Linked DNA regions of Arabidopsis thaliana. The protein of the gene in region 1 interacts with the protein of each later gene in a biochemical or structural test. Each region holds a gene or a part of one and is shown on either strand. Other genes may lie near its edges.

Region 1 (4,467 bases):
TTTCAACGATAAACGATCTCTGATGAGCTTTGATCTGAGCTCTGAAGAATTTAATGTTACTAAGCTACCTGAGGATTATATATTACAACAGTTTGGTAATATGGTGGACCATAGTGGAAAGATAGCTATAGTGAGTCAGGCATACAGCGGTCCAATGGACCTGTGGGTTCTTGAAGATGTCAGCAAAGAAGAGTGGTCAAAAGTTGCTGCCATAGTTCCTTCTATTACAGATATAGTTGGGAATGATCAAAGAGTCATTTTCAGGGGTATACTTTCTACTGGTGAGATTATACTTTCACTGCTCCCAACCCCCAAGCCGCCCTTCTTTTTTCTCTGTTACGATCCCAAGGAAAAAACTGCTAGAAAAGTTGTGATTCAAGGAATTGGAGAAGACTATGCTGCTATTAATGTCTTTTTCGATCACGTAGAGAGTCATATGGTTCTGTCGAAGCTAACTTAATATATATGTTGATGACTAGTTCGTTTGGTTTTTCCCCAAGCTTCTCTTCTTTGTTCAATTTCCATTTCAGTTCTCGGATAGATATAGTTTTAAAGACTCTCTTCTTTGATATTGGAATTGAGACATTTGATTCACCATTTGTCTAGTCTTTTGGTCAATGGTTTTCTATGCTTTCGGATTATGCAAATGCAATGCTTATGACTTGATTAAAGTAACTTTTGCGTGGATCTTACAAGCTTCGGTTTTATATTTGGAGAGAAGAAAAAGAGTTTTGTGTTGCCTAGACGGATCTTCTTCATCATTTTATGACTCAACCTTATATATCGTTGCATGCATTGATACATATATTGAAGAAAAAGCTCAGTTGAAACCAAATTGTTGATGTTTCTTGGTACTGCCTCTGCCACATAATCCGAGTTCACAAGTGCTCTTATAACTTCTGTCAGAGTGGAAATATACAATTGCAAATCAGAGCTACAAAGACCGGTTTCTTGAATCAAATTCATTCTTTCTTCAAATCCAAGAGTAGACGCCAAAAGGACATACATATTGACTCTGTATCATCAAGTGTGAGCTGATTGTGAAGACAATATTCTTGAATGGTTATGCTCGCCTTCGTAAGTTACAATTAACATTGAAGTTTCATCAATACATCGCTCCACATGCTTCCTTGCTGGACAACCTCTCACACTGCTGCATTTATAGTATCCCCTGCAACCGAAACAACAAAAGGAAACTTATATCAAAATCGACATAAAGTTATTGAAATCTTATACCAGAAGATGTTTATATATATACCGTGGATGCGGTGAACCCTTTATCGGTTTCTGTCCATACTTCCTCCAAGAATACTCATCTGGAGGAATGTCTGCAATCTTGTTACTGATTGCAGGCACCTTGATTGATCGTTTTACCCTCAGTTTCCTGTATAAGATCAAACCTTTACAAAGAGATACAAAAAGAACAATTTAAAGGGTCAAGATTGTCACAAAGAACAATGACAAACCTTTTCTTGGAACAGTGACATTTGCTTCGACTTCCGCATTTCAAACTACCAGAGCACATCTTCCGGGTATGCTGTTGGTCAGACCCACGGGACAATCCGGTCAAATGGAACGAGTTCCTATCGTAGTCTGTTACACTAGCATCCATGCTAAGAGATGACACAAATGATCTTGATCCGTTTGATACACTCGGAGTATAGCAACTACTACCAGATCCATCAAACTTAAGGTTTACACCGCTATTACTCCTGGAGTAAGCTATCTGCTGGTGGTTGTGGATTAACTGATAAGGAGCACGAAAAGGAGGTGGCTTTAACTCCAGAAACGACTTGTCAACACACATTTTGTGACTAAGCATTAATGAAGGATGACCCAATTGGTGTTTTGGCTCCATTTCATTATAAACAGCAGAAGCTGGAACCATCTGAAGTGGCTCTGGTGCAAGAACTTGAGTGTAATCACCACTTAGATCATTACCGCAGCAAATAGGACTCTCTAAGAAGATGTGTTGAGGAAAAGATGACCTAAACTTGTTGGTACTCCTAAACTTTCCATGGCCTAACCCTCTAGTTAACAGAGAAGCTACTCTTTTGAACTTGGAAACTACTTCTCCTGTTTCAACCGTTAAGGATTTGGGATCACTGGTTCGTTGTGACAAGAGATTTAACACTCCATGACAGCTTTCTATAGCTGATCTGTTAGCAGCTTCAACTTCCTCCATGTTTTTCTTCTACCCAAGTTTCAGATCAGAGAACCAAAAAAAAAAAACCTAATTTCACAATTCTCAAACTCAAACAGTTAACAACACCCAAATCTCTCCTAGACCAAGAGAATCATAATCAACACAGAAACTAAAAAGCCTAACAAAATACAGAACTTGCAACCTATATAACAAAAGATCTCAAAATAAAAATCTAAACCAGATTAAGACATGAAAAAAGAGAGTACATTAGATCAAATCCAAGGCGCGTGAAAAATCCAGAACTCAATCTCTAATAACCCTAGGAAGAAACCAATCACCATGAGTTCCACCAAATCACTTCCAAGGAAAAGTGCTAAGTAAAAATCGAAACTCCCTCAATCCTAAAGCTAAAAAATGAGATCTTTCTCAACACACAGAGGATAAAAATTAGCTCATGACAAAGGGTCTTCAAAAGAAGAAGAAAGAAACTCCCTGAAAATTTAGAGCTAGAAGAAAAAATGAGATCTTTTTGAATACCCAGAAGGTAACAAATTTAGCTCAAGAGGAAGAAATCAGATAGGAAATTTTAGGATAAAATAAAGAGAAAGAAAGATTTGTCTTGTTTGTTTCTTTGTGAGAGAGAGAGAGAGATAGAGATGGTGAGATAAAAAAGTGTCAAAGGTTATGACTTTTGCTTTGTGGGTGGGGAAGAGTTTAGACTTGCTTTTACTTAAAATTCCCCCACCACCACCATTTCTACAATTTTTAAATATTACCAAAAACCCCTTTTTATTTCCTTTTTTTCTTCATTTATTCACTTCTCAAGGAGACCAAATTTCAATTTTAAATTTTCCTTTTTATTCTTAAAAGCTAAAGTTATTCAATTTCTGGGGAAAATAAAACCAAACACAAAAACATAAGTGGAATACAGAACAGAGATGTGGTCGTCGCAGTTTCAGAGGAGAGGAAGAAAAAAAAAACAGAGCCCTCTGTTAAAAAAGAGTTTCTTAGGTGGGTCCTACTAGTGGACCTACTTTATACCTACTGTTTTTCGTACAAATAGAAAATTGATTAAAATCATAAACCGTATCAATTAAAGGAAATTAGATAATGTATCTTAACATTTTCTGATTTTCGGATATCTTTCTCTTAAAGTAAATGATGTGATTAACTATAATATCTTTAAAGAAAAATTAGAGAAAGAGAATGGATTAGAGTCAAATATCTTTAATGATAATTGGACATTGACTCAGTAAAATTCTTGTACTACTATATTCATATGTTTTAAAAATGATTCTAATTCCAAAGCAAAATTCGAATTGATTTTGTATTCATTTTAGAAAATATTTTTTATTTTTTATTTAACTATTTCTCGATTGTCATGAAATGGAAATAACGTCCATTGTGGAACCCACGTGTCTCCCGTTGATTTCGAATTCCGAGCACGGAGTTAGAAAAGTAACGGTATAGATTTCGACACGTGCCCTATCTCATCTGGTCGTCTCTCTAGCACGTTGTATCACGAATCACGATTGTTGACTAGCTCTTTTTTGTTTTCTTTCTTTCTGTTTTTTTTTTTGTGTTTGTTGTTCTTGTTGTTAATTATACGATATTTTTATTATTCTTGTTTTATCATATTCACAATGATAAGTGAAACTTTCTTCTTATATCTATAAATCTCTAATCATCAGTCAAATGATTGAAATTTTCTGTATTTAATGTGCAGGGTTAAAAAAAAAAATGAGGCTATTAAAGCATATAGAAGATCTTGTAGCATGTAAATTTAGAATTTTCTAAATATGTTTTGTCTATTGCAAATGAATGACAATTTTAACATTTTGAACTCAAAACATATCCGTTTTAATTATCTTTCAATTGAATTAGCATAAGAATAAAATATTCTTTTCTATTCTAGGAGAATCATATAAGATTAATGCGACTTGGTTAGACAGACCAACTAATATTCTTCGGATCCGATTCTAAATACAGAGCTTATACAACAATACAATTGAAGTGACTTAAAATGTGATAGTAATTTAGTTGAATTAATAACCAATAATAATACATGTGTGACTTTGAACATTATCATATACTATTTCGAAATCATCCAATAACATAAGATATGTTCGACCTATCAAATTTAAAAATGCTACACACATCACTTGAATATGCTGAACCAAACAAACAGAACTAACGCACTAGTAAATCAACATTATTTTTTGCTCACTTCATAACATCAAATTACAACCAACCATCTATTCCGCAATAATGATCTTTTAAACTCAAAAACTTGTGCATTTGATAAAGAAGAAAAAGGCTAT
Region 2 (4,495 bases), on another chromosome or scaffold:
GGTGTTATAAACTAGTATTTGGATATTATATTCTTAATCATAAGTTTTCTTAACGAGAGGCTTTTCGAATTCATGTACAATTTGCATTTCTTGATTTATTATGAAAATACTTAAATAGCAACTGATTAGAAAGACTTTTAAGTTTAGGTTTAGTTCCTAAAAAAGTATTTTCTTTGTTTTAATTGTATTATCATCTCACAAGAATTAGACCATATGCCCGCCCACATTGTTGATAGATAGCAAATGCCTAACGCCTAAATCAACTGATAAATTATAACAGTTAGATCGCCAGAGTATTAGTTAAAGTCTCCTAATATTGGTCGTGTATCTTTTCTGAGTTTTCTCTTGCTAATATCTTAAAAACATTGTGATAGTGTTTCTGTACTAGTGCCACCGTCGTATCATAACTCGGATTTAGTGTTGTCGCTATATACTTGGATTCAAGTTTGATAAGTGTGCGTATGTTGTAGACGAAAATTAAACATTGTGGTAGATAGGAAATGCCTAAATGAACTTACTATATTGATAGTACTTTAAAACTTTTTATATAACAGTATAGTAAATATTTAACATATTCAAACAAGATATGACATTTAAAATCCGTTTAATGGGTGTGAGAGGTACAAATCTCTTATTGCACACAAACATATAAAGAAAAGGAATTAAGAAGCAAATGGTCGGAGCTCAGAGAATACGGCAGTGACTTTTCCGGCGACCATTCTTTTCTTTGTATTCAGCAGAATTGCTACTACGCTTTGCTGCCATAACTCTCTTCCCTCTTCTCCTAATAAATTACACACATTTTAAAATAATTAGGTATCAAGATTTTCGATAATATTTAAAAGAAAAAGAAGAAACTAAGCCTTGTAACAAAAAAAAGTAAAAATAAAAAATACTGGTTACCAACAAAAAAGTTCAGTCATAATTAAAGGTTTGGAGATTCTCATTTCATCTATCTAGCTTTTGCTACTTACCATCCATTTTTGATTTTATTCCCCAAAACATATCTGCCTTTTAATTTAAACAATTACGTTCTACCTCACGAATAACTACTGTATGCATACACCACTTTTTATATGTTTTTGTTAAAATGTAGAATATATTGAATCAAGAAAAACACGAATGTTATTTACAAAGCTGAAAGTTGAAGTGGGGAAAAAGAGAACTGAAGCTTGAAAACTTTTGAAAGAAAAAATGAAATGGAAGTTATGTTTTTCTTTAACCCTTTTTCGTATTTCCTAAATTTTATCTCTTGTTTTAATCGTTACAAATGATAATACTTTTTTCTAACAGTTTACTTATTTTCTTATATGAACCGTAAAATAAGAAAAACATATTTTAATTTGACTCAAATTATATGGATTATTGCCAACATTCCTCTAAAAAATAGGGGAATTTCCAAATTGACCAACAATTTAAAAATAAATAAAAAATTCTAAGCTTTTAAAACTACCGATATAATGTTTTCAGACATTTTTCCTACAAATTTTAATCACACAAATAACCCTTTTTTTTTTTAACAAACATTGCAAACTATAAAATACAATAAAATAAAAAAGTACTAATACCAAGAGATAGCTTTTTCAACGACCATTACAATGGTACTTCACATAATATAAAATAAACTAAAAACTTCCAAACAAATAATTTAACCCAAAGTCACAAAATAGTTCATAACATGAAATTTGGGACGAATGCATAATAATGAACAGTCAAACATAGAATAAAGCAATAATCAGAGTTGTTCAATTCAAAAAAAGAAAGAAAGAAAAAGAGAGAAAAGATATGAGAATAGTTTCCTCACTTTGCCATCATAACTTTGACAAACTCTTCATAATTGATCTGACCATCTCCATCAACATCAGCTTCTTTGATCATCTCATCAACTTCTTCATCAGTTAACTTCTCACCAAGATTTGTCATTACATGTCTTAACTCAGCTGCCGAGATGAAACCGTTCTGGTCCTTATCGAAAACCCTGAAAGCTTCTTTGAGCTCTTCTTCAGAGTCAGTGTCCTTCATCTTCCTAGCCATTAGGTTCAGAAACTCAGGGAAGTCTATGGTTCCGTTACCATCAGCATCTACTTCGTTTATCATATCTTGTAACTCTGCTTCTGTTGGATTTTGACCTAATGATCTCATCACTGTTCCTAGCTCTTTCGTTGTGATGCAACCTAAACACAAAACCACACATTTCTCTCAAATCAGTAACAGATTTTAACACCAAATCTTCAAATTTTCATTGTAATTTACTCTAATAACACACAAAATCTTCAAATTTCATTTTAGTTACTCTAACAACTGTATCAAATGAACACAAAATCTTCAAATTTCATTGTAACCTACTCAAATAACTGAATCAATTAAACAAAAAATCTACAAATGTCAATGTAATCTACTTCGATTATTGAATTCTAAGATTTGTGTCAATTCTAATCACAATTAGTAAAATCTGGAAGACTAAAACACGATTAAGTTAGAGATTATTATCGAGATAGATCCGATTGCGATTATAATTTATAATCAACGAACGATAAAGATATCATCAAATCTCGCGTTTAATGTTAATGTGAATATCCAGAGATTTTATGGACAACGAAGAGCATCAAATTCCTAAAGCCAAGACTAAGTGATACTCAAAACACCAAAAAAAACGCAAGTGAGTCTATTATGAATGAAAATTATACAAAAGAGGAAAGATCTGAGAGAGAAGAACCATCTCCGTCTTTGTCGAAAAGGCTAAAAGCTTCCTTGAACTCAGAGATCTGATCATCGGTGAGCTGATCTGCCATTTTTTGGTTTAGATGAGAAAGAGAGAAGAAGAAGAAGAAGAAGAATCAACGTTGGTGTGTGTAATGAGAGGATTGTTGTGTGGAATTATAAAGAAGGAAAAAGAAAAGGCCCATTAGGCCCAATAACAATAATTTCGAATCTGATTCTCTTTTTTATTCTTCTTTTGTTTTGTTCTCCACTGGGCCTTATTGTGTTTTCAATTCGACTAGCTTTACTTAAGAGGGAGGTGATGTATATATTCCCTTGTGAAAAGAAATAGTATTGTTGTTTTGCCGACAACCATTTACATGCTTTGAATGGTTTAGTTCATATAAGTTACTGATCTTACCATGCGTACCAATACTAAGTATTCAACGAGTTGGTAGAATGGGATTACTAGTGATATAAAACGGTAAAAAAGGTTTAGCTTTGTGTTTACCATGGATTTTAAACTACTTTTTAATTAAGTTAACCAAAGAAAAAGTTTTAGCATTATAAGAAAATTTAGAAATAGTAGTACTTTTTATTTACTGTTTTTGTAATTAATAATCATCTAGGAGTTAGGACAAAAATCACTACTTTGTTGTTGGAAGGGTCACCTAATGGGTAGTTAAGCATCATGACCTTCACTTAAAGATTTGATATTAAACAAGATCCAGTTTTCGCAAAACTGTCATACTTTTTTGATCGCCACAACTATGTCTCTCAGTTTGGCTAGAGATGTAGTAAAAAACAAACTTATTGTATCCATCACAATTATAGGTAATTTACTGTCTTGGTTTTAAAAACATGTAATGTTGAGCATCCCAAAGTTTGTGTGTCCCAATGCTAGAGCATATTATAGTCTTACCTCTAGTGAGTTCATAAAGAAGTGTTGTATGATCATATATTTTGTTGAGTAAGAGAAATATTTCTTTCTTCCTCATGTGGTTGATTATTCAAAATTATACAAAAGAGGAAAATCACTTAAAAATATTCACGATACCGTTAAAAGATTACCAAAGAATGGGCCAAATCATAATATTAATAAAGCCCGTTAATAACCGAATCGACCCACCCGACAAAACAACCCGAATCGTTTTAATATCCAACCCGGAGTCAGACGGAGCTCCAAAGATTTGGCTTGTCTCTGGCTTGAGAACAAAGAAAACCCCTTTCTTCGATCTCAGCTTAAATCACTCGACGAAGAAGAAATCAGAAAAGAGTCAGAGAAAAAAAAAATCAAGGAAGATGAGTAGCATTGGAACTGGGTACGATCTCTCCGTCACCACTTTCTCTCCCGATGGCCGTGTTTTCCAGATCGAGTACGCCGCTAAAGCTGTCGACAACAGTGGGTTAGTTGGCTTTATCTTCTTCGATCTTCGCCCTTTAGTAGATCGGATTTAGCTTCTGAAAACTTTGAGATTTTGGTTATCGACACGAATTAGGGTTTGTTAAAAGTCTTTCCCTTTTTTTTTCTTCGCAGGACTGTTGTTGGAATCAAGTGCAAAGATGGGATTGTTATGGTTTGATTCTTCCTCCTTCCTCTATTGATTTTTATACTACTTTGTCACTTTCTTCAGTGGGTTTAGTCTCTCGTGCTGTGATTTAACCTTGGAATGAAGTATTCACATTTTTGTTATCAGAATTGTAGATTTGATGTAATATATACCGTGTAAATTTTGACCCAAGATGACACATTTTACAGTCCCTTAGTTTCATTTCCTGTTCGATATGTTGTGAA

The links.
Region 2: the proteins of WRKY39 (region 1) and CAM5 form a complex in vitro, tested with the Arabidopsis thaliana proteins (one study listed by BioGRID).

Annotation. Positions count from the first base shown.
Region 1 is NC_003074.8:1,265,507-1,269,973, forward strand, and holds WRKY39 (WRKY DNA-binding protein 39), read right to left. Parts: upstream 2,873-4,467; 5' UTR 2,186-2,872; coding exon 1,467-2,185; intron 1,385-1,466; coding exon 1,259-1,384; coding exon of another isoform or gene 1,231-1,258; exon of another isoform or gene 1,172-1,230; coding exon 1,024-1,171; 3' UTR 550-1,023; downstream 1-549. Other genes in the region: AT3G04660 (F-box and associated interaction domains-containing protein), read left to right, coding at 1-460. UniProt on the Arabidopsis thaliana protein: Transcription factor. Interacts specifically with the W box (5'-(T)TGAC[CT]-3'), a frequently occurring elicitor-responsive cis-acting element.
Region 2 is NC_003071.7:11,530,366-11,534,860, reverse strand, and holds CAM5 (calmodulin 5), read right to left. Parts: upstream 2,895-4,495; 5' UTR 2,793-2,894; coding exon 2,717-2,792; intron 2,175-2,716; coding exon 1,805-2,174; coding exon of another isoform or gene 1,801-1,804; exon of another isoform or gene 1,577-1,800; intron 785-1,576; coding exon 685-784; 3' UTR 503-684; downstream 1-502. Other genes in the region: PAG1 (20S proteasome alpha subunit G1), read left to right, coding at 3,697-4,106, 4,238-4,277. UniProt on the Arabidopsis thaliana protein: Calmodulin mediates the control of a large number of enzymes, ion channels and other proteins by Ca(2+). Among the enzymes to be stimulated by the calmodulin-Ca(2+) complex are a number of protein kinases and phosphatases.